4 linked regions of the Struthio camelus genome follow. The main gene of each other region encodes a partner of the protein of the gene in region 4 in a complex. Links are inferred from orthologs where the notes say so. Each region holds a gene or a part of one and is shown on either strand. Other genes may lie near its edges. The genes, in order: RBM10, KIF11, MYSM1 and KAT2B.

The links.
Region 1: KAT2B (region 4) and RBM10 share a complex: the UniProt entries of both Homo sapiens proteins name them as parts of the large chromatin remodeling complex. The link is inferred for Struthio camelus from reciprocal best matches to the Homo sapiens genes KAT2B and RBM10.
Region 2: KAT2B (region 4) and KIF11 share a complex: the UniProt entries of both Homo sapiens proteins name them as parts of the large chromatin remodeling complex. The link is inferred for Struthio camelus from reciprocal best matches to the Homo sapiens genes KAT2B and KIF11.
Region 3: KAT2B (region 4) and MYSM1 share a complex: the UniProt entries of both Homo sapiens proteins name them as parts of the large chromatin remodeling complex. The link is inferred for Struthio camelus from reciprocal best matches to the Homo sapiens genes KAT2B and MYSM1.

The regions. Positions count from the first base shown.
Region 1 is NC_090979.1:733,835-741,379, reverse strand, and holds the start of RBM10 (RNA-binding protein 10), read right to left. Parts: upstream 3,011-7,545; 5' UTR 2,923-3,010; intron 1,402-2,922; 5' UTR 1,377-1,401; coding exon 1,360-1,376; intron 903-1,359; coding exon 752-902; intron 1-751. Other genes in the region: NDUFB11 (NADH dehydrogenase [ubiquinone] 1 beta subcomplex subunit 11, mitochondrial), read left to right, coding at 3,446-3,637, 4,241-4,371, 4,943-5,069. UniProt on the Homo sapiens protein: Binds to ssRNA containing the consensus sequence 5'-AGGUAA-3'. May be involved in post-transcriptional processing, most probably in mRNA splicing. Binds to RNA homopolymers, with a preference for poly(G) and poly(U) and little for poly(A).
Region 2 is NC_090948.1:18,993,118-19,000,894, reverse strand, and holds the start of KIF11 (kinesin-like protein KIF11), read right to left. Parts: upstream 3,014-7,777; 5' UTR 2,936-3,013; coding exon 2,856-2,935; intron 1-2,855. UniProt on the Homo sapiens protein: Motor protein required for establishing a bipolar spindle and thus contributing to chromosome congression during mitosis. Required in non-mitotic cells for transport of secretory proteins from the Golgi complex to the cell surface.
Region 3 is NC_090949.1:34,090,980-34,098,100, forward strand, and holds the start of MYSM1 (deubiquitinase MYSM1), read right to left. Parts: upstream 3,010-7,121; 5' UTR 2,937-3,009; coding exon 2,863-2,936; intron 1,417-2,862; exon of another isoform or gene 1,357-1,416; intron 1,102-1,356; coding exon 1,026-1,101; intron 771-1,025; coding exon 700-770; intron 1-699. Other genes in the region: CARD- and ANK-domain containing inflammasome adapter protein-like, read right to left, coding at 4,866-7,121. UniProt on the Homo sapiens protein: Metalloprotease with deubiquitinase activity that plays important regulator roles in hematopoietic stem cell function, blood cell production and immune response.
Region 4 is NC_090943.1:42,675,710-42,683,694, reverse strand, and holds the start of KAT2B (histone acetyltransferase KAT2B), read right to left. Parts: upstream 3,001-7,985; coding exon 2,779-3,000; intron 1-2,778. UniProt on the Homo sapiens protein: Functions as a histone acetyltransferase (HAT) to promote transcriptional activation. Has significant histone acetyltransferase activity with core histones (H3 and H4), and also with nucleosome core particles.

The sequences.
Region 1 (7,545 bases), on a different chromosome or scaffold from region 4:
AAAGGGCCCAGGCGTCCGGGTGACCCCCCCCCACAAAGGGCCCAGGCGTCCGGGTGACCCCCCCCGAAGGACCCAGGCGTCCGGGTGACCCCCCCCCGAAGGACCCAGGCGTCCGGGAACCTCCCACAAAGGGCCCAGGCGTCCAGGTGACCCCCCATGAGGGGCCCAGGTGACCCCCTAAGAGGGGCCCAGGCGTCCGGGTGACCCCCCCAAGGGACCCAGGTGTCCAGGAACCCCCCCCAAAGGGCCCAGGCGTCCGGGTGACCCCCCCCACAAGGGGCCCAGGCGTCCGGGTGAGCCCTAAAAGGGACTCAGGTGTCCGGGACCCCCCCCAAGAGGGGCCCAGGCATCCGGGTGACCCCCCACAAGGGGCCCAGGCGTCCGGGTGACCCCTAAAAGGGACTCAGGTGTCCGGGACCCCCCCCAAGAGGGGCCCAGGCGTCCAGATGTCCCCTCAAAAGGACCCAGGTGTCCGGGACCCCCCCCCCACAAAGGGCCCAGGCGTCCGGGTGACCCCCCCTGACGGACCCAGGCGGCCGGGAACCTCCCACAAAGGGCCCAGGTGTCCAGGTGACCCCCCATGAGGGGCCCAGGCGTCCGGGTGACCCCCCCCGACGGACCCAGGCGTCCGGGTGACCTCCCCCACAAGGGGCCCAGGCGTCCGGGTGACCCCCCCCCCCAAAGGGGCCCCAGGCCTCCCCCTCCCCCCCACCCCGCCCCGAGCGCGAGGGGCCCCGGCGTCCGGACCCACCTGGGGGGGCCCCTCGGGGGCGGCGCCCCCGTAGCCCCGGTAGTCCATGTCGCCGTAGTCGTGGTCCCGCTGGGCCCGGCCCGTCATGGCCGCCGACGGCGACGCTTCGGGCGCCCCCCCGTAGCGCCCCGTCCGGTCGCCCCGGCCCCCCCTGGGGGCGACCGGAGCGTCGGGGGGGGGGGGACCAAACCCTCCGGGCGCCCCCCCCCCCGAAACCCCCAGGTCCATCATGGCCTCCCGGCGTCACGCCTTTTGCGGTCCCCCATGGCCTGCTCCAGCCTCCATTTTGTCTCCCCCCTCTGCGTCCCCCATTTTGGGTCCCCCCTAGCCCCGGCTATAGGGTTCCCCCCACTTTTCGGTCCCCCCCCCATGTCGCCCCTTTTGGGTTCCCCCCCCTCTGTGGCCTCCATTTTGGGTCCCCCCCCGGTGCGTCCCCCGTTTTGGGTCCCCCCTAGCCCCCGCTACGGGGTTCCCCCCGCTTTTGGGTCCCCCTCGACCCTTCTGCGTCCCCTCTTTTGGGTTCCCCCCCGCCCCGTGCCCCACGTCCTGTCCCCTTTGGTGTCCCCCCCCCCTTTTTGGGTCCCCCCCCTTTTTGGGTCCCCCCCTACCTTCGCTCGTACTCCATGGCGCTGGCGTCACCCCGCTGGCACCTGGGGGGGGGGGACGAGGGGGGAGATGGGGGTAACTGGGAGAGACTGGGGGGCAACTGGGGGGGAACTAGGGGGCGTCAAGGGCACCGGGAGAGGCAACTGGGATGGACTGGGGGGGCCGCGGAAGAGACTGGGGCACGCTGGGAGGGTCGGGGAGGGCAACTGGGATGCGCTGGGGGGCCAACGGGGGGCACTGGGTGGATTGGGAGGCAACTGGGAGGGAAAACGGGGGGCACTGGGTGTGTCTGGGGGGCGACTGGGATGTACTGGGGGGCAACAGAGGCACTGGGCAGACTGGGGGGCAAGTGGGAGAGACTTAGTGGCAACTGGGGGGGGCAGTGGGAGGGACTAGGGGGTTAATGGGGGCACTGGGCAGACTGGGAGGCAACTAGAGAGGACCAGGCTGCAACTGGGGGGCAACTGAGATGCGTTGGGGGGGCAAATGTGGGCACTGGGATGGACTGGGGGGCAACTGGGATGGACTGGGGGCAACTAGGGATAACTGGGATGGACTGGGGGGCAACTGGGAGGGACTGGGGGGCAACTGGGGATAACTGCGATGGACTGGGGGCAACTAGGAGGGAAAAAGGGGCAACTGGGGATAACTGGGATGGACTGGGGGGCAACTGGGATGGACTGGGGACAACTAGAAGGGAAAAAGGGGCAATTGGGGATAAATGGGATGGACTGGGGGCAACTGGGAGGGACTGGGGGCAACTGGGGGCAACTACAAGGGGAAAAGGGGCAACTGCAGATAACTGGGATGGACTGGGGGGCACCTGGAAGAGAACTGGGGGCAACTGGGGATAACTGGGATGGACTGGGGGGCAACTGGGAGGGACTGGGGGCAACTTGGGGCACTTGGATGGACTGGGAGCAACTAGGGATAACTGGGATGGACTGGGGGCAACTGGGGATAACTGGGATGGACTGGGGGGCAACTGGGAGGGAAAAAGGGAGCAACTGGGGATAACTGGGATGGACTGGGGGGCAACTGGGAGGGAAAAAGGGAGCAACTGGGGATAACTGGGATGGACTGGGGGGCAACTGGAAGAGAACTGGGGGTCAATAGGGGAGAGAGGGGGCCTGGGACCTGCCCCAAGGCATTGTGGGAAGGTGGGGGAACCTCCTGAGTGGGAGCCCCGCCCACTCCTCGAGGCCCCGCCCCCCAATTAGCATACAAGTCCCGCCCCTCGCGGGCACCGCAGGCCGCTCCCGCCCCGTCAAGCCCCGCCCCTCCCCTCCCCCCGAGCCAATCCGGCGCCCCCGTCCCCTGTCAATCAAACCCGCGCGGGCCCCGCCCCGCTCCCCACCGCCAGCCAATCGGGCGGCGCCGCCCCGCCCCTCCCTCCCGTCAATCACCTTCCCGCGCCGGGCGCGCGGCGGCGGCGAAGAGTGTTGGGGGGGGGGAGACAAACAGCGCCGCCGCTCCCGGTGAGCCCCGCCCCCTCCCGGGGAGGCCCCGCCCCCTTCCCCGGGAGGCCCCGCCCCTCTCCCCGAAGAGGCCCCCGCCGGCCCGACCTGTCCGCGCTGCGCCCGCGACACCGGCACCGCCCGCACCCGCCGCCGCCTCCGCCGAGCTCCCGGCCCGCAAAATGGCGGCCGGCCCCCCCCCTCCTTCTTCCTCCCTCCCTCCTCCCTCCCGCCCGCTCCCCCCATTGGCCCGCGCCGCGGCGCGCGCCCGCCCCGATTGGCCGAGGCGCCCCGGGAGGGCGGGGCCGCGGCGGGCGGGGTGAGGAGCGCGCCGCGCCCCCTCCCCGCCCCGCTGCCGTCTGATTGGGCAGCCCCGCGGCCGGCCCGCCCCCCCGCCCCGCTCCGCCGGCGCTGATTGGCCGAGACGCCCCAGAGGCGGGAGCTGGAGGGAGCCGCGGCGGGCGGGGTGAGGAGCGCGCTGCGCCCAGCCCCGCTGCCGTCTGATTGGGCGGCCCCGCGGCCGGCCCGCCCCCCCGCCCCGCTCCGCCGGCGCTGATTGGCGGAGCCCTCGAGAGGGGGTGGGGAAGGAGCTACGAGTGCTGCGCGGTTTCCGCTTCCGGCGGGCAGCGTCATGGCGGCGCTGGCTGGCTGCGGGCGGGCGCTGCGGGCGGCCGGCGCCGGGATGGCGGCCGGGAGAAGCGGGAGGCGGCAGCGCTCGGCGGCGGCGGGCACCGTCAGCCCCGCGGCCGCCCCGCTCGGCGCCGCCGCCGGCCCTCACCACGGCGCCGAGGAGGAGGACGGGATGTGGGCGGTGCAGCGCAAGGTCAGCCCGGCTGTGTCCTTCCCCCCGCCCCCAAGTCCCGGCTCGGGGGCGGGGCCTGGCAGGGGGCGTGGTCTGGGGCGGGGCTTGCAGCGTTCTGAGGCGCCTCAAGGGTAGGGGGCGGGGCCGGGGGCGGGGCTTGGTGGGCGTTCTAAGGGGCCTGAATGGCGGGGGGCGGGGCTTGGTGGGCGTTCTACGGGGCCTGAATGGCGGGGGCGGGGCTTGGTGGGCGTTCTACGGGGCCTGACTGGCGGGGGCGGGGCTTGGTGGGCGTTCTAAGGGGCCTGAATGGCGGGGGCGGGGCTTGGTGGGCGTTCTACGGGGCCTGAATGGCGGGGGGCGGGGCCAGGGTGTATCAAGGTCCTATGAGGGCTGATTGACAGCAGGAGGGGCGGGGCTTAACTCCTTCATTCATTTAATAAGCAGGCTGGGGGAAAGGGAGAAGGGGGAGGTGTGGCGCAGCTGATTGGCTGCGGTGCCGGGTGGGGGGCGGAGCTAAGGGAGTTTTGGCGGGGGGGGGGGTTCTCTTGCTCTGCCCGGACGCCTGGGCCCCCCCCGCCCCCGGGAGGCGCCGGAGCAGGGACCCAGGCGTCCGGGCGGCCGCAGCACCCCGAGACGCACGGCTTCGCCGAGGAGCCGGCGGCCGACGCGCGCAACATGCGGGCGGCTTTCGTGGCCGGCGTCTCCGTGGCCCTGGTGCTGGGCGCCACCTTCCTGCGCTACCTGCCCGACTACGGGTGAGCGGCGCCCGGACGCCTGGGCCCCCTTGGGGGGGGGGGTTCCCCCGGACGCCTGGGCCCCCTTTTGGGATGGGCGCCTGGGCCCCTTTTTGGGGGCACCTAGACGCCTGGGCCCCTCTGGGGGTAGTTCCCGGACGCCTGGGCCCCCTTTTGACGTGGGCGCCCGGGACGCCTGGGTCCCCTTTTGGCATGGGCGCCTTTCGGAGGGGGTTCACCCGGACGCCTGGGCCCCTTGGAGGTTCACCCGGATGCCTGGGCCCCTTTTGGGAGGGCTCACCCGGACGCCTGGGCCCCTCAGAGGTTCACTGGGAGACCTGGGTCCCTTTTGGGGGGGGGGTTCCCCCGGACGCCTGGGCCCCTTGGAGGCTCACCCGGACACCTGGGCCCCTTTTGAGAGGGCTCACCCGGACGCCTGGGCCCCTTTGTGGGGTTTCCGGACGCCTGGGTCCCTTTTGGGGGGGGGGTCACCCAGACGCTTGGGTCCCTTTTGGGCGGTGGGGGTCACCCGGACGCCTGGACCCCTCGGAGGGTCACCCGGACGCCTGGGCCCCCCCCCCACCCCCGGCAGGCTGCGGCAGTGGGCGCGGCGGGAGGCCGAGCGGCAGATCCGGGCGCGCGAGGCCCAGGGGCTCCCGCTGGTGACGCCCGACTACTACGACCCGGCGCGGCTGCCCCTGCCCCCCGCCGGCGACTGACCCGGACGCCTGGGCCCCTTCGGCGCTACGACCGACCGCCTAGGACCGTTGATAACGGCCCGGACGCCTGGGCCCGTTCCTGCGTTTTGGAGAGGGGAAGAGGAATAATAAACGCCCGGACGCCTGGGCCCGCTTTGAGACGCTGCCCGGACGCCTGGGCCCACTTCTTTTTTGGGGGGGGGGGGGAAGAGGGGAAGGAATGCCCGGATGCCTGGGCCCCTGGTTGGGGGCGGGGGGTTCACCAGATGCCTGGGCCCCTGGTGGGGGGTTCACCCGGACACCTGGGTCCCTCTTGGGGGGGGGTTCACCCGGACACCTGGGTCCCTCTTGGGGGGGGTTCACCCGGATGCCTGGGTCCCTCTTGGGGGGGGTTCACCCGGATGCCTGGGTCCCTCTTAGGGGTCACCCGGACGCCTGGGCCCCTTTTGGGAAGGTCACCCGGATGCCTGGGCCCCCGTTTTGGGGGTCCCCGGACGCCTGGGCCCCTTGGAGGGTCACCCGGATGCCTGGGCCCCTTTTGGGGTTCACCCGGACGCCTGGGCCCCTTTAGGGGTGGTGGGGGGGGAGGGTGCCCGGACGCCTGGGCCCCTCCCGCCAGAAGGCGGCTGCCTGAGCCGCTGCCGGGCCGGGTCCGCCCGCCCCTTCCCGGCGGCCCCCGCGCGGCGCGGACTACAGCTCCCAGCAGCCCCCGCGGCGAGGCGCGCGGTGACGTCACCGCGGCCGCTTTTTTTCCCCCGGAGCCCGCCGGGTCCTAGAGCCGCCGCCGGGGGCCGCCCCGGCCCCTCTATAGCCCCTTATAGCCCCCCCTATAGGCTCCTATAGCCCCTTCCCCGGCCACTGCGGTCCCCTAAACCGCCCCAGAGCCCCCTATAGCCCCCATAAGTGCCTCGCAGCCCCTATAGCCCCCTATGGCCCCCATAGTTCCCGCAGCCCCTATAGGCCCCTCGCAGCCCCTATAGCCCCCTATGGCCCCCCATAGTTCCCGCAGCCCCTATAGGCCCCTCGCAGCCCTATAGCCCCCTATGGCCCCCCATAGTTCCTGCAGCCCCTATAGGCCCCTCGCAGCCTCTATAGCCCCCTATGGCCCCCCATAGTTCCCGCAGCCCCTATAGTCCCCCGTTGGCCCCCGCAGCCCCTATAGGCCCCTTGCAGCCCCTATAGCCCCCTATGGCCCCCCATAGTTCCCGCAGCCCCTATAGGCCCCTCGCAGCCCCTATAGCCCCCTATGGCCCCCCATAGTTCCCGCAGCCCCTATAGGCCCCTCGCAGCCCCTATAGCCCCCTATGGCCCCCCATAGTTCCCGCAGCCCCTATAGGCCCCTCACAGCCCCCCCTATGGCCCCCCATAGTTCCCGCAGCCCCTATAGTCCCCCGTTGGCCCCCGCAGCCCCTATAGGCCCCTTGCAGCCCCTATAGCCCCCTATGGCCCCCCATAGTTCCCGCAGCCCCCATAGGCCCCTCGCAGCCTCTATAGCCCCCTATGGCCCCCCATAGTTCCCGCAGCCCCTATAGCCCCCCGTTGTCCCTCGCAGACCCTATAGGCCCCTTGCAGCCCCTATAGCCCCCCATAGTTCCCGCACCCCCTATAGGCACAGCCCCACAACCCCCCGTAGCCGCTACGGCCCCCACGGCCTCTGTGGACCCCACAGTCCTTCAAACCCCTATAGGTCCCTGCAGCCCCTATAGGTCCCACACAGCTTCCCAGCCGCCTCGTTGCGATGAATCACTGCAGCTCTTGCAGCACCTACAGCCCCTATAGGTACCTTTGCTTCCAGAGGTACCATATGTCTGAAGTTTCTATAGGCACCTACAGTCTTTATGCCACTTGCATTGGCAAAGCCTCACTGGACCCTATAGGCTCTGCAGCTCCTATAGCTGCCATAGCTCCCCACGGTCCCCAGTGCCCCCCGCAGCCCACCCCAGCCCCTATAGGGCCCCCCCAGCCCTCAGAGGCCTCTGTAGTTCCCATAGTGCCTGCAGCCCCTATAGCCCCCGTGGCCCCTAAAGCCCCCCCCCAGGGCCCCTATAGGCCCCCCAGCCCCTAGAGTCCCCCACAGCCCCTATAGCCTCAATGGCCCCCAAAGCACCTATAGCACTTGTGCATACCATAGTTAGTATATTCATATAGGACTTCATAAACTGTTACAGTTTATATACTACCTGTAGCACCTATAAGGTCTGCCCAACAGATCAGGCCTTGTAAGTTCTCACAATCCTCTATATTTCCCCATCCCCTATAGCTCCCCCGGACCCTAAAGCCCCTATAGGCTCATATGGCCCCTATGAGACCCCAAAACCCCTATAGCCCCTATGACTCCCTATAGCCCCCCCAGCTCCTATAGGCCCCCAGGGCCCCTATGGGGCCCCACAACCCCTATAGGCCCCTCTAGCCCCCCCAGACCCTATAGGCCCCCTATGGGGCCCCACAACCCTTATAGGCCCCTATAGCCCCCCATGGCCCCCATGACCCCCTATAG
Region 2 (7,777 bases), on a different chromosome or scaffold from region 4:
ACAGAGATTAAACACATCAAACAGTAGCATAAATAAGTACCTTCAAAAAAAGAAAAACTTGCACATGGAAGGAAAGGCAATGGTGAATCAAACTAATTCACTAAAAATTCCTTTTTCTTTTCCATTTGCATGAGCAAGAAAGCCTACATCTCACACTGATGACACAGGAGTGGACAACTTGTCTTTCATCCCTTCTAAAGTACCAGACACGCTAACAGAATTTACTAACAGTGGAACAGCAGAAAACCCTGCCAGAACCTTTATAACGCTAACTCAAGAGTTCGTAACTAGAATTTCCTAGGACAGACAAAACATGTAAGTTAGGTGGGGGAAGTCTACCCAACTTTTTACACAGATCGAGTTGTAAGCACAGGTTAATAGAAATGCAACAAAACATTTAGAAACTTAAGGGTCAGCATTTTGTTTCATCATTTAAATCACCTTTTAAAAAGCCAAATCTGCTGCATACAGTTTTCCTTAAAGAAGCATCAGTAATAATTTCCTCCAAAAAGTCAAAAAAATGACCACAGGATGAAACTAGCAGGATGAAGTGTTAGTTTATTACTCATTCAACAGTGTTACTGCACCGACTGTCTACGCTACCTGTAAAAGGATAGCCAACTCGAAAATAGATTCTTTAAAACCTTCTTTAAAATATCTTGACAGCAGAGGCATTTCAGATGCTGCACCTTTAAATCATCAGAAGAGGCCACAAGTATGCGGCATTTTGAGTTTCCTGACTTTTGTGGCTAACATTTCCTCCTCAATACAGCATTGAGGCTGAAGTGTCAGATTCTACATAAACCACTAGACACTTTTATGCAAGACTGACAGCAACAGTGAAGGCAGTCAGGTCACTATGGTGACAGCAGTCAGGTCACTATGGTGACAGTTGATGATCATAACAATCTTGTTCACAAGGGCAAGTTACAGCTTCAGTTTTGTGACTTTTATAAGAGGAGGAGGCTGAACAACGAATATAGTCTGCTCTGTAATGAATGATGCAGCAGTGAACCAGTCAAGACCGGGAGACCTACCATACGATGCATAACAGTAGGATTACAGTGACAACTCAGTTAAGATAGAGCATACATGCAGGTAGTTACTGTGTGTCACTAGGCAAGCAGCAACTTGGAATGCCATGATAACATTTGATCACATGTTCATCCCACTAGGCAAACCAATCAAAGCATATTAACATACATTAGCACACATACATACATTAGCACACATACATTTTGAGTTTCCAAATTCAGGTTCTTACTGAAGCACAGTGAGTTCCTGCTTGAGAAGGTTTTTGATAAGCTCACACAGATCAGGTTTTGGAAGCAAACACATTTAAAGCAGTATTGAAAAAAGAGCAGCTCTACAAGAGGCAAGAGCAATGAGAGACGAGAGATTTTTAGGGTGCAGAGGCTACATGAAGGTCTTGACATAAAACTCATTTTAAGGTATTAATCTCAACAAAAGCACTACCACCCCTAGCAAGCCTGGTGTGACTGTCATATTGAGCAATGTATTTAAAACATACACTGATACTCAGTGAGGATACTCGAGAACAAACCAAGTCCCAATCAGTTGAAAAATGACTGCTCTTGACAATGCTTCAAATGCAATTGCTTCAAAAACTTTATTCTTTTACAAATTCTTGATTTAAATCAACTTCTTCACCAATCCTATAACATTTGTTTCAGCAGCTTGTTAACTATTTTCACTTTTATTCTCGCAACATATCTTATAATTTCTAATTTCATTGTGCATTTGGAAAAGTAGAGCTTCCAAGCAAAAGGATGTAATGACTGCAAAATGCATTAATACTAACACGTAAGCTAGTATTTGCAGTTCTGGCTCAAGAAAACTTCTGAAGGCATTTTTGAACCTGACTCTCAACATTTTTTTTTTTTAAATTAACTGTAATACTGTTAACGTGTTAAGAGCATTTAAGTTCTAACTTCAGTGAATCAGCCCTCCAAGTCACCTCAAAATTACAAGAATCTAATTTTATGGTACACCAGCTTTCTCATGCTGATAATCAAATTCATCTCATCAACCAAGATAAACAGCAGTCAGTCATTATTACATTAACAGTTGACTCCATAACTTTTTGTCTAAACTCAGGAAATTAGCATCGCTGAAGTTAAACAAAAGACTGAAAAGTGGTTGTTAAATTGTAGTGCCTTCTCATACAAGCTTAGAAGATGATATTTCATCTTCATCATATTTCCTCTTTTCCAGCTCAACTTTATCTTCCCGTATAACTTCATACTGGCTGTGTAGTTGAATCAGGTTAGCAAATCGACACATTTTGCCTTCTTATGCTATGAAAAAAAAAACCTCTTCCGTATAGCAACCTTAATTTTGAAGGGATGTCACTGATCTCTACTGGCTACACGGGTCCGTCACAACGCATGCAATTAATGCCTAGGACACATATTTTAAGGCGCATTAAAGAGTGACGTTGGTGTAAACGACACGCCCGTTAATAATTATGTACTCAGAGAGACAGTATACGGTTCTCTTTCCTCGGAGCCGTTGAATAGTACCTCTGCAGAGCACCTTGCTACCCCGCACGGGCGGCGCTCTGTCAGCCCTCTGTCACAGACCAGGTTAAGCCGGGACGGCGGCCTCGGCCCACCGAGGAGGGCCCAGGGGTGCCCGAGCAAAAGCGCAGGAGGCGCCTCTCGCCTCGACAAGGAGGAGCGTCAGCCCCAGTTCCCAGAGGGTCTTAAAAGGAAGGACCTGAACGGCTCCCCACCAGTCGCTGCGGCAGCGGGGCAGGGGCCGACCTCCAAACCGCCGCGAACGGCCGCTCTCGCGGCGCCGGGGGGGGGGGGGGGCGGGTACGCCGCGCCTACCTGCACCGCACCACCACCTGGATGTTCTTGCCCTTCTCCTCCTTCTTCGCGCCGCCGCCCTGGAAGCTCAGGGAAGCCATGTCGGGCCTCAGCGCGGACCTGCTGGGGGACGAGAGGGGGAAGAGAGGCGAAGCGCCAGCCGCCCCGCGTCGCCCTCGCCGCGCCTCGGGCCCGGGCCAACCGCCGCCGCGCGCCGCGCTCCAGCCGGGGGCGCGCGCTCCGCCGCCGGCTTTGAACCACGCACCGCCCCCCGGGCCCGGCCAATCAGCGCGAGCCCGCGGGGCACCATGGGACTAAGTTTGAAATTTCAGGACGAGGCGCAGACGCTAATGACGTAAGGGCTCAGCGCTTGCGTGCCGACGCACGACGGGAGCGCCCCAGAGCGCACTGCATGCTGGGGGTTGTAGTTCTCGGCCAGACCCGGCGGGTGCGTGTTACGTGTCCAGCACAGGCGCCGCGGCTCGCGAGCGACGGTTGGGCGGGTCGCCCACGCAGCGTCCGGCGCGGCGGCGCCGCCGCTCTCCGCAGCCCTCCTGTCCGGCTAAGGAGCTGAGATCTGTTCTGGCAGTCCCGCCGTGCTAATCCCGCAGCCAGCAGTGTACGAATCTCAACAGAACAGACAAAATAGTAAGAAAATTAGACTAGACTGGACGGGTTTTTGGATTCAAGACAAGATGGATGCTGTGCTCCAAGACGAGCTGGATCGTATTTGCTTTATTACTGACAGAGGCGTGTCTAAAGTAGCGCTCAAGCGTCCAGCGTTGACGAACGCGCGCAGCTTCTCCAAGCAACCTGCCAGCCCCCGCTGTCCTCACCGCTATAAAGTTTTTCCTAACGTCTGACTCGAGCCTTCTGTGCAGCCATTTTTACCATCACTGCTGTCTATGCTCACCAGGGGGCAGCAGAGAAACTCATTGTCGCCTCCTGTGCCGTTATTGAAATATTTGAAGACATCAAAACTTCTCACCTCAATTACCTTTTTTTCCTGGATTACATGAATCGATTCATTTCATCTTCCAGCACAGCTCAGGACTTCTAGTCACTCTTTTCCTCTCCCCACAGGCTCTTCTGTGAGTCCACGTATATTTTTTAAATATCATGCTCAAAATTCGAGAAAGATACTTAGTAGATGCCAGGAAGAGTGGCAGAATTACTTTCCCCGTTTTAAGGATCGTACCTCTATTTACATAGCCAGGCACAACATTCACCTTTTTCACAATAGCATTCTGCTGTTGACTCATAATCAGCTCTGGCCCACTGTAATTCCCCACACATTTGCAGCAGAGCTGCCAACCCAGGCGTTTTCTATCCTGCAACTCCACTTCATTGTTCCTACCTCAAGAATTTTGCATTGGGCCATCTTCGAATTATGTATGCTTTAATTCAGACTGTTCTCCAGTCTCCCGTCCAATTCATCAACATCCCCTTGAGTTCCACACTTCTCAATAGCCCGGTATGGTCTGCATAATTAGTGAGAAAATTCTATTTAATTTTCTGACTCGCTAATGAAAATGAATAGTTATAGGCTTAGGACAAAGCACCATAGAGGCATTACATAGATGCTTTTCACTTTGAAACAGATTACGTGAACCACTCTCCTAGCATCCTCTTACTAGCAGTCTCAACTCAACTATGTCACCCTAGCTTCCTTATGAGAGTCTCATTTGGGACAATGTTAAAAGCTTTGTTAAGTAGAGACCTATAACAGGATAACAGGTCTTGTGGGTAGGAGGGATGAAGCAGATTTTAGAGAAAGAGGGAAAAAATGGTTTGACATGGTTTGTTCTCAACAAATCCATGCTGGCTCCTACAGATGGTCATACCGTCACCTACTTGTTATGGTCTGGAGTATTACAGCGTTGGTTTGGGTTTTGTTTTTGTTCTAGGGCCTTTCCGGTTGCTGAAATTAAGATTACCTGTCTGTATTTCTCAGGCCACCCTAGCCCCTTCTCTTCTTTTTTAAGATGGCTGTTCCCTTTACCCATGACTTTGAAACATGCTACTGCTCTATGAGTTCTTAAAGGTAATATTTAATGAATCCTGACCTAGAAAGCTTGCAGTAATTTTTCTGACAGTGACATGAAGCAGCATCACATTATGCTCCTCTACCATTTATCTCAAAAGTTAAAGCAATGTCAGAGCCAGTCTTATGCTAGGTACAACAAACAATATCTGAGAAATATACACATTTTTATAGAAGAGGACATGAAGTCTTACTTGGTCTGCTCTGATGGAAATTGATGCAGATACCATTAACATTCTAGACACTTGCCTGACACTCTAAAAATGGGCTGATGATGAGACACCAGAGATATGAAATCTTTACAATGATTAATAACAATTTTCATTTCCAGGCCATCTGAGCCAGTATTTTCTGTTGGCTTCCTATAAGACCTTACTGCTTGCATGCCACTGAAAGCGATACAATCCTAAAGTATATATAGCATACAAATATGTTACATAAAAAGAAAATTACTTTGTAAAGACAGATACTTGAAAGTTAGTAGCTGCCAAATTAATTATTGCTCTTCAGCTTCAATTCTGAATCATCTGGCCTCAAGCCAATGAATAAGGCTTTCATTCTATAGCAAAAGCTCGAAACAAAACTCTATCATAATTTCTATACATAGAAAACTAAGGAAACTATAATTTCTAACATTCTTAGTGCTTGACTTTCCAACCTAAATGAGTTTGATGGGTTGGCATTATTAAGGCATACTATTTTCTTCTCTAATGAAACACTAAAGTCACAATAACACATTTTGTCTCGGTTACGGAAAGATTTAACCAAACAGAAAAATGAATATAATACAAAAGCAACAGTAACTGCAAATAAGACCACCATTATTTTTGCACGCTTTATGTATTCTGTATGTTCTAAGTGTACAAACTATTTGCACAGACAGTTGTGTACGAGCCACTACTCAAGCGAAGTAGTCAAATGCAGGTATGCACACATACTGAATCTGTACCTTTTACTCCATACTCCTTCCCAGGGACCATAGAGAAGGCGGCAGCCGCTGAAAGACAAGTCTTTTTTCCCCATTTCTGCTTGTTTGTTCTTTCCCAGTATGAAAGTATGCCAGAATTTGGCTCAGAATATAAGCACGTCTCTCAAAAACACATTACATAAGAAAGTAAGAGATCATTGAAACTTGCATTTAAACAACAGTAATCTATTTAATTGTTGTGGGTTGAATTTGGCCCATAGCTACCTTTGCCATAGCTGTGTTAAGAGGAAAACTGATAATTCTGGTAATCAAGATAGCTTAAAAAATGCATACATAGTTTAACTGGTGTAAATGTATTTTACAAAGTCAATTTACAACATAGACAGAACTATTTCTTAGTCTAGGCTGAGCCTAAAGATATTGATATGCTATAAATACAAATTGAGTAACAGGGAACTGGCATTTCACAACACATAAAAATAAATTAAAAATGAAAAAAAAGAGAAACCAGAACACTTAAGAGAGTCTTAACAGTGATTGGGAAAATGACCTCCCAAGAATACATGTACACCAACTGTGACAAATATATTTTATTTTTTTTAGAGAAAGACATAACATTATAGCAAAATGAATTATAACACACACAAGCATCACTATGATTTCTGTAGAGACTACTAATCACATTTATTGATCAAAAAGGACAATTATTTAGCAAAGCTTAAAGAAAAAGAACTCAGTGTATTATAATGACATTAATAAACAATGAATGTTTCAACAAAATTAGCATTTTCCTAGGATTTAAACAGGATGACCTGGATAACGATAGGTGTGGAAGCCTGACAAATAGTGGAATTATTGACCCTGAACAGGATTAGCAAAGAATTAGGAAGGGTTATAATAATGGAGACATATAATTAATACAAATTATAACTGTGGTTAAGATTTCTTCAAGGCTTAGTAATTAAACAGGTATTAACCTGTTCTGATTACCAACATGGTACACAGTAGATGAGCTGAAATGGGCTAGAAAAGGGTCTCCACGTGCCATTAAAGGTGAAGAATTATCAGCAAGTCAATGTCCTTGTATTCAGTGTTGTAAGAGTTAATTTTGATACTATCCTACTTAATATTCTCAGTGATATAGGAAAAATTCACAGATTGTGTATTTACATTAGAGGGGAGATGAACTGCACCTGATTTACATGTAGAAAGCATACAGAAAGTTAAACCAGTAAGGACTTAAAACACGCAGTCCTGGTATCTTTTTGGCTAGTTAGAAGACAGGGTTTTCCCTCAGTTGCAGTAACATCACACTTATTTCACTGTTAAAAATTAAAGATGTAACAAAATAAAGTAACTACCTCATTGTTAAAAATTAAGGATTCGATCTCTATGCAACATGAATAAAAGTAGAACTGGTTTCAAGTAACCAGCAAGAATACACGGAATGAAGGATGTGTGGGTGTGCTTGCGTGCGTCTGTGTGTGCGTGCAGGATCGCTGTCCATCACAGATGTGGAAGTTAAGTCTTTTACAACTTGTTATGGTTATAGTCACCATAATAAAAAATTAACTCCACAATCAAGGGTGTATACACATGTGTGTAATTACCTCAGAGTAAAGCTAATCACTATGCACTTACTCATTTTCAAAGAAGGCACGCAAGCGGATGACATCCTGTACATAAAAGGACAAGACACCAGGGGAAAATTGCAAACATAGATTAGGTAGAACCCACTGAAGTCAAGAGGAAGTTGGTTTTGCATTATCTTTTGATTTAAATTAATTCATTATTTCTAAACTGAGAGAAGTCAACAGACAAGCCACTTGGGAGTGGGAATTATATAGCATCATCCCATTTACTGAGCTCGTTATCTCTCTCAATGGCTGTATTTCTGTACATATCACACAAAGAGCAGAGAACAGTATTTTTTTCCCTTTCATATTTCAATCTTAAAGCAAGACAAGATGT
Region 3 (7,121 bases), on a different chromosome or scaffold from region 4:
GGCTGTTTTTGTCAAGAGACAGAGATACTGTGAACATTAAGTGCAAAAAAAAGATAAAGAGAAGAGTTTGACCCTTATTTGTAATAGTAGTTGTAATAGCTGAAATAGTAATAGTTGTAAGTGTAGTTGCAATAGTATCACACAATACAACACAGAAAAAAAATATTCTCAAAATAAAATATTCTAAGATTTTAAATCAACCTTATTGTTTGAAGACTGACATGGACTTTAAAACCATTAAGCAAACCTCACAATTTGGATACGATTAAGACAGATTAGGCAACAAAGATGGAGAAAAAGTACAAAGGAGCACTCACGTCACCTACATCAGGCACCCAAATTCAGCAGTTTAGCCTGTCCCTTCCCCTCAGAATTGCTCCACCCCTTAATGTCTCTTTCTCTCTCCACTGACTGACTACCTAAGAAGATTCGGTTTCCCATGCCTAAACTTTGTATCTGTGACTAAACCTGGTTGTTGTCAATACACTGTAAGGAAGCTAAAGACTTACGAGGGTCAGAGGAAGCTGCAGGTAGCTAGATAATTTAATGCAAGTGTCTTCCCTGACTTCTGCAAGCTACCTACAAGATACCAAAGCTTCAGTTACATTCACAAGTAGAAGATTTCTCTACTTCCTTTTTAAACAGAAAGGTGTCTGTTGTCCTGCACACAAACACACAAGCAAACCAACAAAAGGATACTCTTCTTCCAGCAACATTTTCTCAATAACAGCCCTATTTTCTTCACTAATGCTGCTGTCCAACGTCCACGGCTGCAAACAATACAAATATTTTTCAATATTTCAGTTCTGCCATGATGTTATACAAGCATCAAGAATTAATGTATAATAGCTTCCAAAAGTAAGCAACAAATACTTATTTTAAAGCAAAGGCAATTATAGCCTGAGTCGTCTGTAGAAAAATAGGATTAATAATCTAAAAGAGCACGCACATGGAGGGAAGAGAAGGGAGAGAACAGAGACTGTGAGCACCTTGCTAGAAGAACCATTCATTTAAAAATTACTTACGAGATTGTTATCAGTTCTCCAAGATGAATCAAGATAGTGATCCTGCAGCAAGCTTGAAGCTGTATTTTCATAATCTCTAAAGAAAAGATTCCAATGTTCAAAACATTACAAACATATTCAAAGAAACTGGATGCTTTGTCAGAATTAAAATAAATATGGAGCTAAATAAAGTAACTATTAACAGAGGCAATGACAGAATTAGACTCTAAAATTAAAGTTGTATATTGCAGACTGTTACGTAAGGTTACTCTTTTATAATATTCCATAAGACATAGCATAAAATACCACAAGTAAACGATCTTTAGTAGGACTCTCAGCAGCAACAGCTCACCTATCTCACTGCAGACTGTATGACATACCAGTAAAACCCTGAATGGTAAAAATCCTCATCTAGGAAGAATGAAAGCAGGAGGTGAGAGTGGAGGAAACCAGCTCATTGTAAAAACCTCGTAACACATACACAAACGAAAGAGGCAAGAATTTTGTGGACAATTAGAGAACTATAGCTTTAATCTTAAAACTGTCATTGACTTGTGCTACCTCCACTTAACATTTCTGCATTTTCCCCCTCTGTAAAATCAGAAGACCCCTTTACAGAGAAAGGGCTGTTACCTCCAGAAGAAGGCTGATACTTACACAGGGCTCAATAAAATCCCGTCGCATGTAATTATTTATGTTCTGACTGACTTCATCCAGATTATGCTTGATCTTTTTAGGTAAATAACTACTTATTACTTTAAAAATCTAGCACTGATTAATGTCATTGGATCAACTTCCCACTACCTTACTGCGGTGTAAAAACCTCCTTAGCACTTCACATAATTACCTGTTTTCAAGATCTTTGCTTCGAGAACATTCAGCCTTTTCTAAAGAGTAGTTAGCCCTATATCCCTTGCAATGTTACTAAAAATAATTTAATTACTATTCTGAACTGCTCTGTCCCACCAGGTCAAATGCCTCTTTATAGGGAAGAATTAAATCCCTGCCTACAGCAGGAAACCAATATAAATTCCAGCTTCTTGTAGAGCATATTAAAAAAACGGGTTGGGATCAACAGTGCGTCTTGCTGAGTGTTTTGTCCCCAGCAGCAGCAAGAGGAGGTGCTGCTTCAGGAGAGCTTGCGAGTCCGACTACTTTCCCTGCTCCGTTCCCCTCATCTTCTCCCAGCATCCGTAATCGCTACATTAACAACATAAGTGCACTGCTACCCACTCACTTCAGTGTCTGCTGAGGGATCTATCATGCCTGAATCTGTCAAATCATTTTTTTGGACCTGCCTGGGACTATCCGCTGCGACAGCTTCTGTGGATTTTAGGTTCTGGATGTTTGCTGTTAGAGAACACGGTGGTACTTCTTTTTGGAGAGGACGAGGGAGGATCTATACGTTTTAAGAGTCTCCTAAAAGTCTGACCAAGTCTGACAGTCCCGGCTCAAGCACTGTGGGATTTGGCGAGGACAGCTGTGCATTCACCCCACCGTAATGATTTCCGCAAACCCCAGTCCTGCCCCCACCTCCTCCTCCCCGAGGGGCCCCCGTGTCTCCTCGCCAGGCTTCGGCCCTCCACGGCCGAGGCCGCCCCCTCGCGTACTGCCCCCGGGCGGCAGCCGACCCGCCCTGCCGGGGGCGCCGCGATGCCCCCCCCCCGGCCCCACCACACCGCTGGTTTCACCGGCGGCTCCGCAGGCCGCGCTCGCCCCTCACCGCCCCCTCAGGGCGGACCCCGGCAGCGCCGGCCGTCCCCGCGCGGCCAGCAGCTGCCCCCGGAGGCGGGCTACCCCCACGGGGCGTGGGGGGGGGAGGCTGCCCGCTGCCCACGGCGGCGACAGCCTCACTCACCCGGGCGGCGTCTCGCCGGGTGCGGCCGCCGCGTCCCCTTCGATGTCCACCTCCGGCTCCTCCGCGGCCGCCATGGCGCCGGCCCCGCCAGCTCTCGCGAGAAGCGGCGGCGGCGGCGGCACCGCCCAGCGCGGCTGAGCATGCGCGGAGCGCGGCACGGCGCGGCGCATGCGCAGCCCGGCCAGCCGGCCGACCGGCGCGGCGCCCTGAGGAGACGCTAGGGCGGAGGCGGAGAGATGGTGCTGGGGTAGGCGGGGCGCGCAGGAGCGGGGAGGGGGCAGCTGAGGGCAAGGCGGGGGCTGGCGGGCGGTTTCCAGGCGAAAACGACGGGGAAACGGGGCGGATCTCCGGCAGCGGAGGGGAGCCGGCAGCGCGAGGCCGGAGGGGGGCCCGGCAGGCCCGGGCGCCTCGCGCCCTTCCCGCCTTCGCCGCTCTCCCCTCAGCGAGCCCTCTCGCGCCGGCGGCCGTTGGAGGCCGTTGGCGACCGTTGGCCTTCGGCAGTGTGAGAGCGGCCGGGAATAAAAGCGGTTCCCTTAGAGGTGTTTGCTATGCGCTGACCCCAGAGAGGCGTTATTTTGGTGTCAGTGGAGGATGCCGGTAGCAGGGCCTTGTACAGGCTACTTCTAAAGCGTTGTAACATGGCTATAAAAATCACAGATTTCTTCTCGTGCGCTTTCGGGCCGATGTTTGATTTCACAAGAATCATTTTGCCCTTCATGGTAATTGGGTATCCGATCGTGATGAAGGGAAAAGCAAAGAGCTGTGGGGGGGTCGATTATCACGTTGAAGAATATGGCCACTGAGAAGCTTCCCTCGACTTAAGAAAGTGTTTCTATTTTAAAAAAATTGCAATGCAAATACTTTGTTTTGAACTAATAAACTGTATTTTTCAACCTTTTTATTCTGAACGTTTCATCTATGTGCTGGAACTGATTTGAAAGTGAAACTAATAAACAGCAAATACAACAATTTTTTTTTTCATTATCCCTACTGAAAAATGTAAAAGTAAGCAAAGGATGTAATGAAAGATGGACTGAAAACTAATATTTTTAGTCCTACGATATGCAAATGCCATGTGATAGCGTATAATACAGGGGTGTCTGAAGAGGGGCCAATCCAATTTTGAATGTCTGTGTATTATGAGTCCTGAAGTCAGCATAATTGAGTTAGCACAGCTGTGGACCTGCGCCACTCCACTGGTTGGTTTATACTGAACCTTATGGTAGGATTTGCTGGGGAGGGGGATCTGGTAAATGTGTCAGTGGGTGGCTTCTGCTCCCCAGCTAGCCCAGAGAGTGATGCTGTAATAGCATAAACCAAACTAATATTTCATTAGCATCAAAAAAGGCAGTGCTGTTCAGCCATTTACTGCCATGCTTCTCCACTTTGTTTGGTTATAACTGTGGGATGAGTTAGATCAGCTCACCCATCAAACCTAGAGCTGTAGTGCCAAAACAAAGGGAGTGGGCATGCATGACTGGATTGCAAGGGAGGGCATGATCAATCCCTTTTGGCAGCACCCTGCAGTTAGGTCTGAAACTAACTGCGGTGTTACCAAGTCCAACGTTTCTGTGCTCTGTATGCTTGTGGATATAGATATGTGCTTATTTGTAATAGGTGGCTTCGTACAAATGTGATGTTAACAAACCTTTTACCTAAGCTATCCGTACCGGCTACTATTCACAGAAATATGAAAAGTGAATTTCTATCGCTTTTTTAAAAAGTCTTGATTATACTAGAGGGGGTCACACACAGTGTGTTTAAGATGGATGCTTCAAATAGGTTCCAAGTATGAGATTTGTGAGAAAAGCAAGAGAGAATCAATACCTAGAATAACAGCATGTTTAAGATCCTTTTTTCCTTGGCCACCTTTGATTACTAACGTAATTCTACCAGTCCTTACTCAATGATACTGGACAGCAGCCTTATCCAAATTACATTAAATAATAATTTAAAAGATAATTTTGCATTTAAATGTATTTAGGAGTTTTTGCTCTATATGCTCATTTTGTTATTAACATTTTCTTTTTCAAAAGTGTTACAATTTGAGCCTGATTTTCTGTTTTGTTAATTTCTGCTACTTGCAGTGGAGTCTTCTTTAGACTATTAGCAGCTTGTAAGTTTGCTTTTTCTCCTTGTGACCAGTTTACAAGGGAACTTACAGCATTCAAATGACCAGCCTTGCAGGCACAATGCAATGGAGTATCCTTGCTGCTGTCTAAGGCATTAATAGCTGCCCCTTGGCTCAGTAATAGATTTATCAAGTCACTGTGTCCATATTCTGCTGCGATATGTAGTGCAGTCTTTCTCCAAATATTTCTTTCATCAATATTTTTATTTTTCCCTGAGGTCAGAAGAATTTTTACAATCTCTGCATTTCCTTTGATGGTTGCATAGTGCATTGGAGTACATCCATCCATGTCCTTAACTCCGGATCTGCCTTTTTTGGCTAACAGAACTTTAATGCTACTGAGATGTCCTCTCATAGCTGCAGTGTGCAGGGGAGTCTTTTTTTCTTTGTCTTGTGCATTGGGGTCAGCATTAGCATTCAAAAGCAGCTCTACCATTGTGTTATCTCCCCTTTCAGAAGCAAGATGTAAAGGTGATTTTGACTGCTTATCCTTAACATGAACATTGGCTTTGTGGTGCAACAGCTGTTGAGCAACATCAGTGTTACCTCTTTGACTCGCAATATGCAGGGGAGTAACTAACTCTTTAGTGACGGCATTAATTTTGGCCCCAGCATCAACTAAAATGCTAACTAGTGCTCCTTTATTATGAAGGGCAGCAACATGGAGTGGAGTTTCACCTGCCTGGTTCATAACGTTAGCTTCCATCCCTTTGTGTAAAAGTAGATTTGTGATGGAAGCGGCCCCAGCTTGAGCTGCCAGGTGCAAAGCTGTGTCTGAAGCAGGAGTCTTTATTTCAAAGTTAGCACCCTTTTCAATTAGAACTTCTGCAGATTCAGCTTTGCCTGTTTCACATGCCATGAGTAAAGGAGTATACTGCATTTCATTGTAGGCGTTTATATCTGTGCCTCTGTCAACTAAAGCTGCTACAATACCATGCAGATTTTTCTGTACAGCTTTGAAAAGAGCTAACTCCATTATGTCAGAGGACAAGCCTTTACAATAGTCTAGCAGTGTTTTGAAAATGGATGGGTGGTTGCTGTTGCAGGCTCTTTCAGTCATTTTGGAATCAACACTGGCTCCAGCCTCTAGCAGTACTTTTGCAGTGTTTTCAAACCCCTGAGAGACAGCATAACTGAGAGCTGTCTGTCCTCTTTCATCCTTTCCATCAACAGAGGCGCCATTCTTTAAAAGCGTTTTTGCCAGAATGCTCTCATCTTTAAGAGCTGCCATGTGCAAAAAGTTGTGCTGGTTCCTGTAGCTTCTTGCCTCTTCTTTCAGGAGCGTCTTCAATATGTGACCGTGGTTATTCTGTGCAGCCAAATGAAGTGGTGTCTTGCCTTCTCTGTCCAAACTATACATACAAGCGCCACATTGGAGAAGCACTTTCACTGCATCATCGTGGCCTTTCTCAGCAGCCCTGTGCAGTGCTGTTCTTCCTTTCTTATCCTTCACATCTCGCCTAACACCTTTGCTAATCAAATATTCCATTACTGTTAGATGTCCATTAGCAGCTGCAATGTGCAGGAGTGTTTCACTTGCAGAGTTTAGTGCATTAATATCATTATCTTTCAATGTTTTCTCTAACTCAGAAAGGTAGCCTTTAGCTGCTGCATCAAAGATGCCAATATCAGAATGATCTTTCTTAGGTTTTGCTGCTGCTGAAAGTTCAGTTTCTTTTCCTTTCTTCTTAATAGACCATTCTTGCTTTCTTCTTCTAGGACGCTCTCTTTTTTCTTGGTGCTGTTCACTGCGATTTTCAAGCCAAGCCTTATCTTTTTCAGTTAAATACCCTACCAATTGTCTTCTAGCATCCCCAATACTTTCGTTTATTTCGCTGACATATTTTCTTATCTTGTTATAAAGTTTTGGCTCCACTTGTTTTAAACATGGGTAAAAAAAGAGCCTGCAGGCTCGTTCACCATGAGAAATTAGTATATCTAAAACTCGAGAGTTCTTTTCTTTTCGTGTCCTATAGAAAGTCATGACTATCTTTTTTTCTGGTGTAAAAATGCCATTGTCTATAAGCCAGTTCAGAAGATTGTCTGGATTATTTATGCCTTCTACTAGCTCTTCTTTTTTAGTTCTTAGGACTTCAATTGCATATGGATTTGTAAACAGGCTGGTTGA
Region 4 (7,985 bases):
CAAAACTCTTCCATAGTCCTAGGCTGGGGCAGCAGCTCCCTAAACTTATTCCAAAATGCTCAGTCTAGCTCTGCTGAGTTTATATGCACATCGAGGATGTCTCTGCCTGCAGTTTTTGCCTGCACTTCCCAAAGGCTGAAGCAGAGGGATCGCTAGAGTGACAAGGGGGCTCGTTCCCTCCTGGGGCCAGAGCAGCCCGCTCACACGGCGGTCCTGCTCGGGACAGTCTTATCTCTGGCCCAGCACATTGCTGCTGCCACCAGCGAGGCCCAGCCACCTGCCGCTCAGTGTCAGCCCTCTTCCCATCTCCTGGCGCTGCTTCTCTTCAGCCCTAACGAACACGCTCTCTGCCTCTGCTCCTCTCAGCGTCTCAGAGGTTAAGTTTCTACTAAACTTTATGTGCTGAAGCAGCAGCGTTTTCCTCTCCTGTTTCCCGCGGGAGAAGGACACCACCATTAAGGATGGCACTGCATAGTTTCTCCACTGCAACCTGAACAGCTCTTTGTATATTTACACAAGACTCACGCATGGCTGCCCCTTGAATAAACACATAAGTTACATTATTTTGAGATTGGAGGCGGTGCGAGTGTTTGATTTCTGTCTCTCTCTCACACACAAACAGAAACGCACAAAATAAATAGAATCAGTTTCAGCCCAAAGTAAGAAAGTTCAAAGTTATTCCCTGCACTGCTACAGCTTCTTGCAAACCACTAACGTTACAAGCCAAGTACTGTAGTTGTGGAGCACCTGCCAGTTGTTCAAAAGGAAAAATAACACATTCTTCCGCTCTCCTCCATCCTTCCCCCTTTATCCCATAGGAAAAACCGCTTGATTAGTTTACAAGAAGCTTCCTGTTTGTCTACTTGCTTATGTTTTGCAACCTGAAAGAACGCTGCCTGCTATTAAATTACTGAAGAAAAGCGAGGTAGCAAAGGTTGCTTTTGCATTTTAATCTGAACCCAGGGTAGTGTTTAGTTCTGTGGTTGTGCCAGGCTCCTGGCAGGGAAGGACAAAGAGGCTCCAGGGTGTCCCTAGCCACAGGTCGCGCACTCTCAGCTCACTGCAGTGCCAGCAGTGACACGGCCCTGACTTCTCGCAGAAGGACAGGAGCTGAAGGCTGGTAACACTACCACACACACACAGCACCTGCAACACAAGCTGCCACAGCTCTGTGCCCACCCCTGGAGATCCATAAAGGAAAGAAAAAAGATCAGACTAGGGAAGGAAAAGGTAGAATCATAAACACACACACACACCACTCAACAGCTCATGAAAACCTCACATCCTCCCTGTCTAACATTGTTTAACAGCATAGCAAAATTTGGTAACATTAAAATACCGGGGGGGGCAGAGGGGAATCACTACCAGAAAGTTTTGAACCATGTCACCCATCCTTCTATGGGGACCTCAGGTTTCAAACACACTAACTGCTCTGTTAAGTTCCCAACAGTGGTGGTCTCTTGCAACGTCACACATACATGCCAAAGCCCGAGAGGAGATTCCTGCATGTTTGTAAACAGCTAAGAAATTGAAGTGTGTGCGTGGTTTCCTTGACTTGACCTCACATGACTTACAGTATTGCAACATGCTTTCAGAGTACAGTTAAAGCACTTCCCATCACCAGACAGGACTACAGAGCCATATTATAACGCTTCCTCACGTATTTAAGCATTTAGGTTGGCCTTTCACTTAACATTTGCCCTTCTGAGGGTTCTGATGTAAAGGAGCAAAGAAAGTAAATAATACACTTTCTCACAAACTGCTCACTTATTTGCTATGCCAAAAGCATTACTAGAAGATTTCATGACACTACTGCCATCCTGAACGTGTCAGACTCATCACGCATCCAAGAATAGTCACGAAAGCAGTAACGCAGGTGACAGCCCATGCTTAGAGGGCACTGGCCCTGCACCGTGTGCAGTGCAGTCCAGCCGCACGTGCACAGGTGACAACACCAGTTTGGAGGTCACAGACCTCCAAAGACTGCAAGGCTGCAACTCTGACCAGGCTCTCTCAATCTCCAACAACAGTCAAGTCCTGCTTCTCCCCTCCGGAAGAAAATTCCAGGCAGAGGGAAAGATGCAGGGAGGGAAACCCAGGGCAGTGTCACTAAGGTGAGCGGAGAAGGCCTGCCCAGTGCGGGAGACGACAGAGGCCTCCGTGCCCGCACCGACGTGACCAGTGGGGACAACTTTCCCAAGAGGAGAGGCCGCGCCTCGTTGCTCCTCTGCCAGAGCTGCTGGCGACGCTGCCAGCTCGGAGCAGCGACATTTGGATGGCGGCAGCCCCCGCCGGGACGCGAGGCCGGCCCAGCCCCGCGCCTCCCCCTCCCCCGGGGCGAGGGGGCGCAACGGCCCCGCGCGGTGTTTACGCGGCGAGCAGCTGCCGCGGCGCCGTCAACCCAGCGGTGCAAGTGCGAGCGACCCCGGCGGGGGCCGGGCTGGGGCGGAGGCAGCGGGACGGGCACGTCCGCTACTGCCCGTATCGACAGGGGCAGGGGGAGGAGGAGGAGGAGGAGGAGGGAGGTGCTGCACGCGAGGGCTTGTTTTCGGCGTCTTTCGGGCTTATTCTTGCCGCTCCTAGCTGGAAGGCTGCGGGCGGAGGAGGAACCACCAGCCTCACCACTTCCGCGGTTCCCGGCAGCGCGGAGCTGCAGCTGGGCCGCCGCCGCCTCCCCCGCCCGGCCCTTCCCCACCGCCTGCCGCCCTCCCTTCCCTCCCCAGCCGGCTCAATCCCCACCCTCCGTGGGCGGGTGGGCGCCAGCGGCCGGCGCCGTACCTTGCAAGCGGAGTAGACGCCCAGCTTCTCCAGCTTCTTGGCCCGCGGAGCGGCGCGCAGCTGCGCCTTTTTGCCGGCGGTGCGCGCCGAGCCGGGGCCCCCGGGGCTCTCGGCGGCGGTGCGGGCCGGCCCCCCGGCGGCCACCCCGCCGGCGGCCGGCGAGCCCTGCTGCGGCCCGCCACCGCCCGCCGCCGCGGCCCCGGCGCCGCTAGGCTCCGCCATCCCCGCGGAGCGGCGCGGAGCGGCGCGGCGCGGCGGGAGCCGCCCGCCCGTGCGGCTCTGCCGGCGCGGTGCGCCGAGCGCTAGACCCTCCCCTTCGCCGCCGCCGCCGGCTGCTCCCCCCGGGGAGGGAGGGGACTGGCCGCTCCGCGGGCGGCTCCTGCCCCGCCGGGCGGGGGGAGCGCGGAGCCGGCCCCCGCCTCCCGCCCTGCAGCGCAGCGCCGAGCCGCGGGGGAGCGCGCGCGCCGGCATGGGCGGGCGGCGGCCGTGCGCCCCCGCGTAAGGCGGCGGCGGCTTCGGCTGCGCGCGGGGGACCCCGCCGGTGCGGGCCTTGCGCGGCCGGGAACCGGAGGAGGAAAGGGGCCGCCGAGAGGCGCGGAAGAAGCCGCACTCTTCGGCCCCCCTTGGCTTCAAGTCCTTTAAAAGCCCCGTTTTTCCCCTCACGGTGCCACTAGTTTGTCGACTTAACTATTGCGTTTCCACACCCTGCAGTTCTCAGCTGTTTTTAAACCGTTCCGGTTTCTTATTTGTTTGCTTTTAAAGATTATTTCGAAGTCAAAGAACATAAAAATACTCCTTGGCTTTAAAGATGTGAGACTATAAAGACTCTGCTCAGTTCCGGGGGGGAGTCACGTCGCGGCTTCTTGTTTGTCCAGGAACAGGTGTTAACAGCAGGTCAACCTATGTCTTTAAGTAGCTACCTTTTAATTGGAAGCTCAAATTAAGTAAATGATTCTGCCACAGCAACTGCACTCTGTGCCTGGAAATAAGCCTTTCAGTTCTGAGGAAGTTATGTCCTGCTGCACATATGTAAAAACGCGGTTGAACGGTGAGAAACCACAAATGACAATTCGCTAACGCAGTACCACGGTTTAAAAGGTTGGAGCTAAGGCTGCCCGCGCTTGTGTGTGTTTTACAGGGCTTTGATGTGTGAACCAGAAGCAGTAATATTAACGTTGAGGGGAATCCCAGTGCATGAAAGAGCTCTCGCAGCAACGCAGGGCCTTGCTGGCTTACACAAGCGCAAAGGATGAGAGGCTTCTGCAAGGTGGGGAGTAAAGAGCAGGGGGAGGACTGAGGACGCATTTTCCCTCTGATCTCCCCTTCCCTCAGCCCCGTTTTCTCCCTGGATATTTTCAACCACTGAGACTCAACGGTGAGCTGACATCTTCATTCAGTGCGAAAAAAATCAGAAGGACGCATCCAGTTCCCTTTCAGATTGAAAGGTTTCAACGTTTTTATTTGCAAAGGAGGAGGAGGGGTGGGCTTTTTTTTGGGGGGGGGGGGGGGGCTGAGGTTTTAAAAGGAACAAAAGGTGACGAGCGGGGAGGCGGGTCCGAGCTGGTCGGTGCCGCGCTCCCGAGGGCCGGAGCCCTGCGCGGAGCCCTGCGCGCCTCCCCCCGCGCCCTGGGAAGTGCCGCAAAGCCTCTGGGCCGCCCTCGGGCGGAGCGGCGCGGAGCGGGCAGCGGCGGCGCTGCCGGGGGGCTCCCCCGCCGCGGCCGGCGCCGGGGAGGGATCCCCGAGCAGGGATGTGGCTCGCGGGGGCGGGGGGGGTGACAGTGACCCTTAAGATGGCTGCTGCCATCCGCAGTGTTTTAAGACAGACCGTTAAGGTGGAGGAGGCACTGCCCGCCCGGCTTCCCGGAGGGGCGGTGGGAAGCCGCCGACGGCACGTCAGACCCTGCCTTCGGAGCGAATAATAATAAAAAAAACCCCTCACTCTTAAATTATACCTTTATTTTTTTTTCCTTTGAGAGTGTTCAACTAATATTTGAGGATAACAAATATTATGCTGCATGATAACATCCACCTGAGGTCATCAGAATAACTTTCTAAATGTATTTGCTTGCATTTCTTTATGACAATCGCTCTTCCACTTTCCTCCCAGACTTGGCAATGAAATGGCTTGGTTTCGCTTTCAGCTTTCCCACTGCTCTGCTACAGTTGCAAGTGAAGTGAATAGTCCCATCTGTAACAACAAATTCCTCTCCGTGTGCCACTTAACATGGCTGGCCATTGTCTTCCAGCTTTGCTGGGAGCTATGGCCTTGACGGGCAGTCTCCTAACATCTTTTTTAAATAAAAAAAAAAGAAAACCATCAAAGCTGGCAAATGTTTTAGCTTCTCCTCTAAATGATAAACTAATGTTATCTAATCCAGTATCAACTTTGCATCCACACAGAAACAAATTATACATTTCAATTCTTAAAATACATTTACTGTTTTTGCACACCTAGTTCCAGCGCCACTTACGACCGCCCAGTGTGTGTTTATGTATGAAACTACGAGTGCAAGTGTTCACAGGACCTCGGCCTAGGCAGAAAACCTTCTTTCAGCCTGATTCTTTCACCTTGTTTTTCGAGGTCCTAAAAGCCTGAGAAATTGTTACTTCCACTGAAATAAAATAAGGATGAAAGTCATTATGAAGCTGATACTGACTTTTGTTACATGCCTGGTACTTTGGATCTCTGCTTGCATTTCATTGTTTGTTTATGAGGGTCTAGTGGAAAAAAGGCTGTTGCATGGCATACAGTAGGATGCAGGTAAGTATGAAGGGAAAAATATTTTTACTGCAGTTTTTGCCATCTCCTCCTGTGAGATTGTGGCTCTCTTACAACATGTCTGACAGTCTTTTTTTTTTTTTTTTTTCCTTTTTACCTTGCTGCTCACTAGATAATCAGAACAATAAATCTACCAGCCTGTGGCTAAGGATACAGTTACTATAGTAACATTTATAAACACCGATTTCACTACAAACGCAGAACAACTGCCTACTATTGCAAAAAGGAACAACTTAACAAGAAATCACTCTTTAACTGCTGTTAGGTAAGCTTGCCTTTTTGGTTTTTTAAACTGTAAGTCTCATTTAAATCTATTGTTATCATTTGTTCTAAAATATTAAGTTTTAAAAAAAAAAAAAGCTTAACATGACCTTGCCTTAAACTGTTCCAGTGACAGCTAAAATGTTACGTTCAATATTTTGGCAAGAATAAGGAAGGAAAAGATAGTTTGGTTGCTGGAAACACTGGGGTATAACTTGGGCCATGTTCACAAGTGATGGCTTTGGTGAATATAATTTGGCTATGACAAATTACACTCTATTAGGGAAGCAGAAAAAAAAATCTGTTTTGACATATGACTCTACATGTCATTCTGAGTTTCATATCTAAGCTGACTTTATCTGTTGACTAATTTTGAAAGTATTTCAATTATAATTTATGACTCAGTCTGAGCACAGAATCACTCCAGTGCTTATTTTCACCATTAAATATTCAATATGAGAATATTAAATTAAAATTAAACTCAAAGCATTATCTGAAAAACCTTGCCACATTTTTTAGTTTCTGTCCTTCAGGGCACGTCAATGGGCTTGCACAAGTCCAGCTTATTCTGAAACTGGCTTTTAGCAAGCCATTGAAGGAGCTAAGTACAGCTGCCTACTTCCTAATTGTGCTACTTAGCTTGCAAACTCAGGTAAGTAGCCCCACCACTTCAGGAAGACTACTCATATACGTTAATTTAAGCAAGCCTGGAGCTGGATGAGACACATGTTCCAGGTCTTGTGACTCTCAGGCCTGTCTCAAGCTGCTGATAGCCCTGAGGAGATTCATGTTCGGTTTTGGTGCTTCCAGGGGACAGCACATTTAGTGCCCAAATTCACTCTGAACTCTAGACAAGCTTAAACGTAAAAGCATGCAAGTTATTCCAGCAAAGCAGATGGCTGTATTCTTGATATCCAGTTACAAAAGAGGCATCTCGAGTTACAAAAGAGGAAATTAAAATGTGGTTTAGGGTGTGCCTGACACCCAGGTATTATTTAGTTGTCATTTGAGGTTTTTGGGACCGATCTCAGCCACATAAGTTGAATAATAATTCAACTAATAGCTGCCTAATGCTGAACGCTGTCTCTCCGGGAGGGCCCTCGCAGCCAGCTGTGCAGCTGGGGATGCATCTGTCCCCCTCGCCCCCAACCCCAGGCCTATTTGGAGCGAGTGTGATGAACCACTGGTCTCACTCTCCTTTTGTTCACGACAAGACTTTCCTCCCGTGCTCCCACCTGGTTTTGTCCTTGCCTTTCAATGCAATTGTGAAAAGCAGAGTGCTTCCCCCTCCTCCAGGGAATTTATAAGTATAAAATCCTATTGTATTCTTTCGTTAGCACATTCCTTGTGGGTTAAGTGGCCTCCCTTGAGGCCACTACACATTCAGGCTATCAATATTTTATGAATCACTGGAAGTATTAACAGCACAAAAGTTTTGTTCATTATACTCTCTAGCATCTTGTCAGCTTCCCACAGAGTTTACATGTGAAATTAATAATGTGGATTGCAGACCTTACCACTAAGCCTTTGACTGTCATAGGGAACCTCACAACCCAATTACCCAGTTTTTGTAAGTCAAAAGCAGAGGGAAAAAAATGAAGAAAATGTCATTGTGTAAACAAACTCACGTCTGTTTAAGAAGCAAAAACTTCTTGCTAGTGATTAAGCAGTCTGCAGTTTTTATTCACTTTTTACACAGCACATACTCTTCTTGACTCCAGTCTAAGTTGTGACTTATCAAAAGCCAAGCAAAAACCTAAATACTGGGCTCCTGCAGCATAGGATATTATTACTGCCTTTGCTAATACAATATGAAGTGTGTGTGTGTGTGTGTGTGTGTGGTTCAGAAGCTGCTTGTTAAAGATATTTAATTATCTGCAGGTGCTGCATAGGCTTACACCACATTTTGTGGTAGGGAGAGCACTAGATTGCTTAATGCAAACATAAGACATATTGTTTACTTTTCATTCACCTGCCTTCCCATACTTTTTTATGTATTCCATTATCTAACATCATTTTCTCTTCTTACTGTTTTCTCAGCTTACTATGTGGTAGAGATCTCAGCAGTTCTCTGGGACCCCATTCAGTGTACTCTGATTATCTCTGCATTAATGGTTTTCTTAACTACCCCAGCCTTGCGTAGAGCAAGTCCATTTATGTCAGTGGT